2 linked regions of the Arabidopsis thaliana genome follow. The protein of the gene in region 2 interacts with the protein of the main gene of each other region in a pairwise test. Each region holds a gene or a part of one and is shown on either strand. Other genes may lie near its edges.

Evidence for each region.
Region 1: the proteins of AT1G10610 (region 2) and AT1G22490 interact in a two-hybrid assay, tested with the Arabidopsis thaliana proteins (one large-scale study listed by BioGRID).

The regions. Positions count from the first base shown.
Region 1 is NC_003070.9:7,938,083-7,942,322, forward strand, and holds AT1G22490 (basic helix-loop-helix (bHLH) DNA-binding superfamily protein), read right to left. Parts: upstream 2,544-4,240; 5' UTR 2,408-2,543; coding exon 1,970-2,407; intron 1,504-1,969; coding exon 961-1,503; 3' UTR 515-960; downstream 1-514.
Region 2 is NC_003070.9:3,504,220-3,509,566, reverse strand, and holds AT1G10610 (basic helix-loop-helix (bHLH) DNA-binding superfamily protein), read right to left. Parts: upstream 3,382-5,347; 5' UTR 3,105-3,381; coding exon 2,995-3,104; intron 2,689-2,994; exon of another isoform or gene 2,536-2,688; coding exon 2,338-2,535; intron 2,259-2,337; coding exon 2,195-2,258; intron 2,118-2,194; coding exon 2,049-2,117; intron 1,969-2,048; coding exon 1,534-1,968; intron 1,431-1,533; coding exon 1,230-1,430; intron 1,152-1,229; coding exon 975-1,151; intron 887-974; coding exon 815-886; 3' UTR 567-814; downstream 1-566. Other genes in the region: PERK11 (Protein kinase superfamily protein), read left to right, coding at 65-226, 324-566; AMSH2 (associated molecule with the SH3 domain of STAM 2), read right to left, coding at 4,377-4,551, 4,633-4,685, 4,768-4,830, 4,924-4,998, 5,079-5,141.

The sequences.
Region 1 (4,240 bases), 4.4 Mb from region 2:
TAAAAGTTCTAGAAAAAGACGAATTCATCTTTGAAGAAAATAAATTCAAAAATTAATCAATCATACTATTAATCATTATAATTATACACTAAACACAACCCTAAAAACACTGAGAAGTACATTAGGCGTAGGCCTAACGGCTATTAGCGCCCAATGTCACATACTTATCGACTTAAACCATTTTCTTTTATTCAATTTTTTTGTTCAGATCTTTATGACCATTGATTCATTACAAGAGACAAAAATGCAACTTACATAGGGAGGATTAGAGGAATAGTGAAAAAAAAAAAAAATTAGAAAACTGATTTCAGTTATTTCAAAATAAAATAAAAATAAAACAAGTTAATTATAATCTATTTGCTGAATTATGTCTCTTCTTGAATCCTCCTTATGGTTTGATTCAAAGCTGTTGCAATGTCGTCCACGGTATTCAGTTGGCTTCCTTCTTCAACCTGAACCAACACATTTTCTCTTAAGAAATAAAGATATACATAACAATTCTTGAAAAAAGTTGCAACAAACAAAATTAGAAGGATGTAGATAACTATAACAAAATATCTTTCTATTTGCTAAATATCTCCTGAAACAAATGGTGGACTCACTTCGTTGTCCGTACATATCTCATCTACAATTATGTGACCACCGAACATATATCCACAGTACATAAACATATACATAAACATATATAAATACACAACACCACGTATACAATTCGTGGATATAGATAGACACATATTCGTGTTTCGTTTCTTTAGGTTGGTCCCCTGATTCTTACAGGCACGATTAAGATACGCAATTTATTATTGACAAAAATAATAATCAAAATGATGATTATGAGTTTGACCCACAACTATTGAGGCCCCAGCCCTAAGTACCCAAAGGAGGTAAGAAAAAAACAAAGAGAATGATTTTAATTTTTCTTCACAACCTTTTTAAAGCCCAGGCATAACCACAATAGTACTAATCCAAAATTTCCCCCCAACAATAAGAGACAAAAAAATAAATCAACAAAGTGAAACCATATGCACCACACACACAGTCATTACTCACTTTAATCTCATGATTACCCCAAAAGCAAACAAAGTAATGATGAGAAGTTGAAAATGTACGTACCCTGACGCTGATGGAGTAGAGAATGGAGTTGTGGAGAGTGGTGACATTGAGATGAAGAAGAGTGAGCCTTAGGCTTTGTAAAGAAGTTATGAGCTTAAGAAGCTGCCTCGGTTTCTTCTTCGTCATTATCTTGATGTTCGCATGGCTTTCTGCCACCGTAACCTCTATCTCCGCCGGTGAAGATGAGCTTTCCGGTACATCTGATGATGACTTTGTAGAATATTGTGGGAAGCTGAAAAAATCTGTGAATGGACCCACTAACGAGCTAGTGCTAGTCTTGTCTCCTTTGGGATCATGAGTCCTAGTTCTCTTCGGCTCCATAGATTGTAAAATATGCTCTAACTCCTTCACGTAGTTTATAGCTCCTCCTACTATCGACGCTTGATCTCCCTTTACCACCAAAACCCGCTCATGTCAGATCATATAGTTATCATAAAGATTGAAAAAATCTTTGAATGTATAAATATACACACACACGTATCATTGCTAATTGCTTAAGTTTATTACGAAATTGTTCTAAAACATATCCCAATATTCTCAATCATACTCGTTCTAATTTTTGGTGACACATAATATTTTATTTTAAAAAATACATTAAAATATGTAACAGCAAAGATTATTAGTATGTATATAAACGCGTCACCCTTCCATATTTACGGTGGATTTTCTTGTTAATATATTGTATAAAAACATCAATATATATTCTCAGTCATTTTCATTCTATTCTTTTGTGTTAATATATTATGGAGAAATGAGTACTACAGCCAAGCAAGTAATAAAACAAAGACACATATACCTAAGAATGACCCTGACCAAATGATATATAGCATATATAAACATTGAATTAGTAAGTTACTCTTTGAGCATACGACGACGGCATTAGAGAACGGAGCACAGCCAGATACTCGTTCATCTGTTTCCGGCGATTTCTCTCGACGGCGATGTGAGTCATTCTCTGGTTCTCGATCTCTTCCTTGTTCTTGCAGTTTCTCGTTCTCCTCCTCTTCCTCCGGTGCTGTGGAGGAGGATGACTCTCCACATCAATGGCGGTAAGACCAAGCTCTTCTCCCAACGAAGGGATCAACAAAGGATACTGATGATAGTCTCGCCATTGATGATCGTCCTCCTTACCTTGTTCCACAAAGCTCTGTTCATGCCCTAACTTATCAATGTTGTTCTTCGTATCTTGAGCTACGAACTCTTCTTGAGAGTATAAGTCGTGGAACATAAAATCTTTGCAATTGGAGAGATATCCGAATGGATCTTGCGGGTATACGACAGCCTCTAAGGGCATTTTTTAGCCGGAGATTGTTGAAAAGAAAAATTCAGAATTATGGAAAAAATAAGAAAGATTGAGAAACCGAGAGAGGGAGAGAGAAGGAGAGAAAACAAAATTTAGACAGGAAGTGTTTGTCGCTCTCCTTTTTGTCTCGAGGGGGAAATAAAGGCAAAAGGGTTAAGCCCACTAAAGGAAACTAAGCATGGTATTAGTTATATGAAGATTTTTTGTAAATTGATTTACAAAATATTAAATTCTCAAGAACTCACCGGCATGGAGGAAGAATAGGAGAGTGAATCTTCAACAAAAATAAATATACAAAAGAAAGATATGAGAGTGAAAACCGAAATATGAGGATCAAACAAAGTGGTGTGATTTATTTAAAAAGGGAATTGAGAGAAGCTTTGTGAGGCTATTAATTTTTTTTTTTTTTTTTTTGATGCTCTCACAGTTGACCAAAAATAAATGCTCCCGCAGAGATCAAAAACGAAAAGAAAAATAAAACTAAAGAAAAGATGTATTTGTCACCAATATATATATAAAAAACACTGAAAAGGAGATATAAAGTGCACTTGTAATAATCATCCCAATTGTATTTAAATAACTTGTTCATAATAATTAGAGGTTAAGAAAATAAAGAAAAAAATTGTTCATAATGTTTTTAATATAAATTAGTTTTATTATATAGTAATTTTATTATTAAGATGTTAATTGTTTGGAACTATTCCTAAAAACCCATAATCTTTCTTAGTTCAAAATCAAATAAATAATAAATAATTTATTAAGAAATGGTAAAGCTGATATAGTGGGCAGTGAATTTATATTGACGTTCGAGTGAAAGAAAACTGGTGCTGGACTGCTGGTGGTGATCATAACCAGTTAAAACCTCTTTCGAGTTTTTCCGAATATGTATAGTGTAAGGATACACAGATGGTGATGGCTAAACTACTTAAAATTCTAAATATAGCAAAAAATTAATAGAAAAAACAATAGTTCGTTAGTACTAATATGTCATGTTGCGGATTACTTTAACCAAAAAAAAAGTTACGGACTACTTTAACAAATTTTTTTGTTGCGGATTAGCGTTTTCGCCAAAAAAAAATTAAGACGTGCAATTCTACGTCAGTCGGACAAGTGAGTGATACAATAAAACGAAAATGTGAAATTTTCAATTGGACCATAAAAATTCTAAAGCATTATATATATACAGTTACATGCTACTTGTAAACAAAGTTATTTGAGTTTCCAGTTAGGACGGTCTACGCCAATTAATTTTTAGTTCTACGCATTCACATCTGGTAACAATTTTTTTGGTTTGAAAATTAAAATTCTACCAGATATTACCTTAGAATATCTATCCAACTTCGTGGAATTAGATCCATTATCTATGGTTACTAATTACTATTTAGATACATAGATGCATATAGATAAATGTATACATTGCAGCGTCAAGTTTGCACGTGAGATAGTAGTAGACCAGTCCACAAGACCAAATAATCTGTTTGCAGGTTGGGGGTCGTCTAGTTACACTCATGTTCTATTATTTTACTTTAAACAAAAATATAATGTATTTCCATATCAAATATATGGTTAAGTATCCGATTAAAATTAAAAATCTTTAAAACAAATGTTTGTCAGAAAATACACAACCAATAGAAGATTTATTTTGGCCGGTGGGGATCACTTTATGTCAGGTTTTAACAAATTTGTTTCGTGATGTTATTAAAAATATATTTAAATCGAGATATTTACTTGCATGTTATAAAATGATGGTCTATTAAAAATCTTTTGTCACTACTTTTCAACATCAAAAACCAAAAAAGTTATGTATATAAATTAGGTGGCATC
Region 2 (5,347 bases):
TTTGTGTTTTCAATATAAATGAAAAAATCTCATGAGGGTTGAATATTTGTTGGTTTTTTGGCAGGCACGTCCAAGGCTAATCGAGGCCATTGAAAAAGGTGACATCAGCGAAGTAGTGGATCCACGGCTAGAGAATGATTACGTCGAAAGTGAAGTCTATAAAATGATTGAAACGGCAGCGTCTTGTGTTAGACATTCCGCTTTAAAACGACCTCGTATGGTTCAGGTCAGAAATAGAAACACTTCTTGACTTGACCTAATAATATACAGCTAGAAAAAGAAACAAACCATCTGATTGATCAAGAGTGTTTCTCTTTTTGCAGGTTGTTAGAGCTCTGGACACGAGAGATGACTTGTCGGATCTGACAAACGGAGTTAAAGTGGGTCAAAGTAGGGTCTACGACTCCGGTCAATACAGTAATGAGATTCGAATTTTCAGACGAGCCTCTGAAGATTCCTCGGATCTTGGTACTAATACTGGCTACTACCCTAGCCAAGACTACGCCACTAGCCATGAATATGAATCTGAGAGCCGAGCCTTCAACACAAGTCACCGGAACCATTGAAACCAATAAATTAAACTCAAGTTGTTGTGTTTTGTTTTTCTTAGTTCTTAGGGACGACGACCCTTTAGAATTATATTTGTGAAAGATCTTAATGAAAACCCAATGACAAACCAGAAGAATGTATAGTTTCAAACATGTAAACTGTCACCTAAAAGCTTGTGAGAAATCATATCTCTAGCAGTAACTTGTGACTGAAGCAAACAAAACATTTGACCTTTTGAGGTTATGTACTCTGTTTTACTGAGTTTTCATATTGAAGTTATCATCATCTTGAGCAGTAAATCTCTCAATATTCCACATGCAATCCCGTCTTTGTTCGCCTAAGAATGAATAAATCCAAAACTGTTTATCAGAATTCAAGAATCTGAGATTACGTGCAGGGGCAATGAGATGTGATTACGTTACTACCTTGACATTGAGAACGGTCATGACTGTGAGATCGAGTCTGGTGAAATTGACGTCAATGATCTCAAGTTCACATAAATCTACAGCTTCTATCAACCTCTTGAATCCATCTTGTTTATGTTCCTGCACAACCCGAATCAAGAAATCTCGCTCACCAGTCTCGTGGACTTCAATTTTCACCTGAAAAGAAACCAGAGTTTGTGGGATTTTACAACTCAGATATAGATTATCTTGAAGGTCTATATATTCGAATAATACCTCGTTTTTCTTCACTCTCTTGTTGCTTTTAGAGGAAACTCTTTCAGCTTCTGGATCAGCTATTGCAGATTGTTCCTCTGCAGCGATTTCTTTGCATTCCATCTCATTGATTCCTTTAAGCTCATCTTCAAGTTTCTGCTTCTCCACTAGCAGTTCATTGATGTAATCAACAGCATCACTGAAAATTCCAATTTTGTTCAACTGCATATAGCACAAAGAAAGATAAATATAATAATCCTATGGAAAGTGCTACATTGACCACAAGAAGAGTGATCCAGAAACTGCATTGAGTTTCAGAAGAAACCTTTGTGATTTTAGGGACTACGGCTCTTAGACCATACATGGCCTGATTAATTCTCTCTCTTCTTTTCCTCTCTGAATGAAGGTTCTTTGATTTGAAGTTTTCCGTAGGAAGCAGCTTCTTATTAGCTTTGGAATCGTTGGCATTTTGCACCACAACATCCTTTTCCTTGTTCATTATCAAACACGGTGTTTGTTCCTCCCTGAGAATTTCCACACAACTAGCATTCGGGTAATTGCCGAAAAGATTCTGAGTTTCACTGGAGGGATTGGAAACACTTGATGATCCGCCGCCCTCAACGCTGAGATTCACACCGCTACTCATAGATTCCTCTGCTCGGGGAATGATCCTGAACTGCAGCCTTTGTTCAGGGAATGGTTCAAAGAAGGTGGTACAACGCGACATGATCAAATGCACCATGCTTTCATCAAACGGTCTCTGATACAGACCAACATTTTATGAAGTAACCACCAAAACCAATGACAGACTTTCTATGCGAAATGCTAACATGTTTTTACCATATCGAAAGCGAACAGCTCAACGAGACCATCACTCACAGGAACAAGAACACGAGTGCTGAACATTTCCTGCCAAAACACATGGAGATCAGATTGTTCTTATGATCAAACGAGTAAAAAAGGCTGACGAAAAGAGTCTTTTTTACCATTTTAGATCCTGAATTAACCAACCACTTTGGAGATTTTGACATCACTACTTCTCCATGAATCCTGCAATTGAGAAAGAAGCTTCATATTATTCTTGAAGAAAAAATTAACTTGAAAGGGGGTTGAATAGATGGAAACATACCCGGGATAGAGAGGCATGAAGAGAGGAAAACGAGAAAGCGCTTCACAAGCTAAGGTTCTTATACGATGCTTGTTGTGGTCATCTCTACAGAAAGAAGCCTTCTTTTTTCTCCCAGTTCCTCCTTCTTCTGAGTTTTCAAGCTTTATATTCTTATCAATATAACAACCACTGCAGCAGCATCCCACCCATTCAATAAACCTGTAGTTTAAATGGAATTCATACCAATTACGAGATGAAGATCATAAAACCCACAAACTTTTAGTAAAACTAGACAAGACAAAACCAAGAACAGGAGGTAGATGGTAAAGCAAAACAAACCATAAACCATTAAAATCAAAAACCAGATGAGCAAAAAAAAAAAAAAACAGAAACCAGAGAAATTTGATAGAACAGAGCCAGAAGTTACTAAGGACTAATCAAAATCAAAAAAATGGAAACTTTGCTACTGAAACAAAATAGTTTCAGGAAGCCAATAACAGAGCAAAAACAAAAAAAAAAGTCCTAATTCAGAAAGCAAAGATAAAAGACAAACACGAAAAACCCATCAGTATACATAAAAACGGAAGCTTTGCTACTGAAACAAAATAGTAGACAGCTGATGATGATTCACATGAACAACGAACAAATAACAAAGAAAAACCGGAGAGTGTGTTGAACCTAGAAGGATCATCACCGAGTTTCCAGATAACACATAAGTCCCAAGTTCTGGAATCGACAAAGGGTCGAAGAAACTCCTTCACTCTCTCACCACCTCTCATCATCATCATCTCACTCTCTCTCTCTCTCTCTCTCACTCTCTCTCTCTCTCTCTCTCTCTTACTCTCACTCTCTCAATCAACAATAAGAAAAGCCAAACAAGAAGCCTGAGTTTTGGTGATCTCTTTTGGTCTTACTTATAAATTGATGCAAGGAGAGAGGGAGAGAGAGAGAGATATTTGGCATATATATACAAAGCAGTTGCTCTGTCAAAACAAATCATATCGGGAATATACGATCGTACAAGACAATGGTAACCAACTTCACTTTTTGAATTAAAACCCAGAGAGAGAGAAAGAAAGAAGAGTGAATCGTCTGCGAGTCTCTGTACCCAAATCCGTGACAGAGGTGACTGTGACATCTGTAGAGAGAGAAGATAGGGTAAGAAAAAGAGAGGTTTTACTCTTGACTGTACGAAGAAAGCTATCATGTGCTTGAAAACGGCCATAAAGGGATTTGAAGCAAAACAAAGTACTGTATCTGTATGGGTTTTGATAGCAACACTCAACAATATGAAATGAGCTAGCTTTTTTTTTTCTGATAAAACCCATCCTCTGTACTATTTACTTTAACAAGGAAAGAGCTTTGATAGCTTTATTACTTTCAAAAGAAAAGTTTGGACCTTTGGTTCTGTTTTTGGGGTTTGTACTCTTGTTTCATGTGAAGAGAGGTATTTGGAATATGTCTTTACCAAAAAAGAGCTCAAAGATACCTTTTAAATTATTATTACAGCTAATTTATGGCTATTTTGTATCTAATTAATCAATCAAATGAGAAATGAAAAGAATGAAACTTGAATCAGACGAAAACTGTCAAAATGAATAATTTTTTAACAAGTCAAAGCTCAAGTTTAAAATTTTCCCGTCCTTTTTAAAAGCTCAACCATTTTCATCAGTCATCACTGGCAAGTTAAGAGGTATAAAATGGCGAAATATGGTGATAATATTAATGTAGTGTTATATGGAGAAATAGATGCCAATGTATACATTTGTACAGATATATAACAATTGCATACGCCAATACAATGTCTTATGTCTATGGTCATTGTTGTTCTTCCATAATGGAACCAATTGATCCAAATCTAAGGACATGACAATTTATTAACATTGCTAAGCTTAATAGAAGGTACCTTGTGTTCATAACCCGAATCAGACAGCCTTCTCAGACCAAGTATACAGTTCTGGTTAGGGTGGTGGTTATGATGACGGTTATTATTGACATCCTTAGCCCACAGTGGATAAAGTTTGAACCTTTTTACTGATAAGTCCACAGAAGTCGTTACCTTAACGTAGATCAAAAATCTCGAACCTAAGGTTCGAGTTCTTGTAGACGTTTGAGCAATGCTCATAAACTGGGTTCCCATCTTCTGGTTCTTTGTGCGGGTGGAATCCAGTCTCTGAGCAGCCTCTCAGTACCTCCATTCCTCCAGGGTCCGTTAGCTTAAATATCCCGTAACTCCTGCCAAAAAGATCAGTTTGAGAGTCTATCAAGGAAATATGTTGACTGTATAATTGACTCCATAGCTTTGGAAGAACATACTTAGAGCTATCAGTTGGAGCTACGACGATTGCAAAAGCCTCTGGCACCATTACCTAAGAATGACATGATGGGAAACTGAGATCAGAATTGTCTCAAACCTAGTATATATGCAATTTGGAAACAGCAGAGATGTACCTGATACGAATAATGTGTATGCAGATCTACAGATGACATGAAACAACCCTGAGAAGGATGAGTCTGGAAAATATGCATAACCTCGTTATAGTAAGTCAAGACAAAGTAGATAAACAGATCACTAAACATGGAGGGAGCTAGAAGAGAGAGATATACATGAATCCATCCTACGGGATAGAGTTCTCTTTCGTTTTGAATGGAAAACACTTCCACTTCATTCATAGCCTGACACTGCCAATTTTAGCACCTGAGTAAGCACCTCATTTTGAATACCACAAAATGATCGAGATAATCTTTCTAAGATAACTCACAGAATTAGAAGTTGATTCTTGCTTAGGTATTATCAGAGTGGTTACATAAAAAATTCCTCTTTCCTACAGCATGAACAGAAATAGAAATGTAATTACCATCAGGTTCATGAAACTCGAAAAACGAAGAACCCTGGAACAGAAGCAAAACAACCATGAATCATGACCACAAAAGTCAAAACAAGGTGTAAACTTTAAACAATAGCATAGATCGAGTTTCACTAAAAATTCAAATTTGCAAAGATCTCTGTTAGAAGTTGTAATTAGGAACA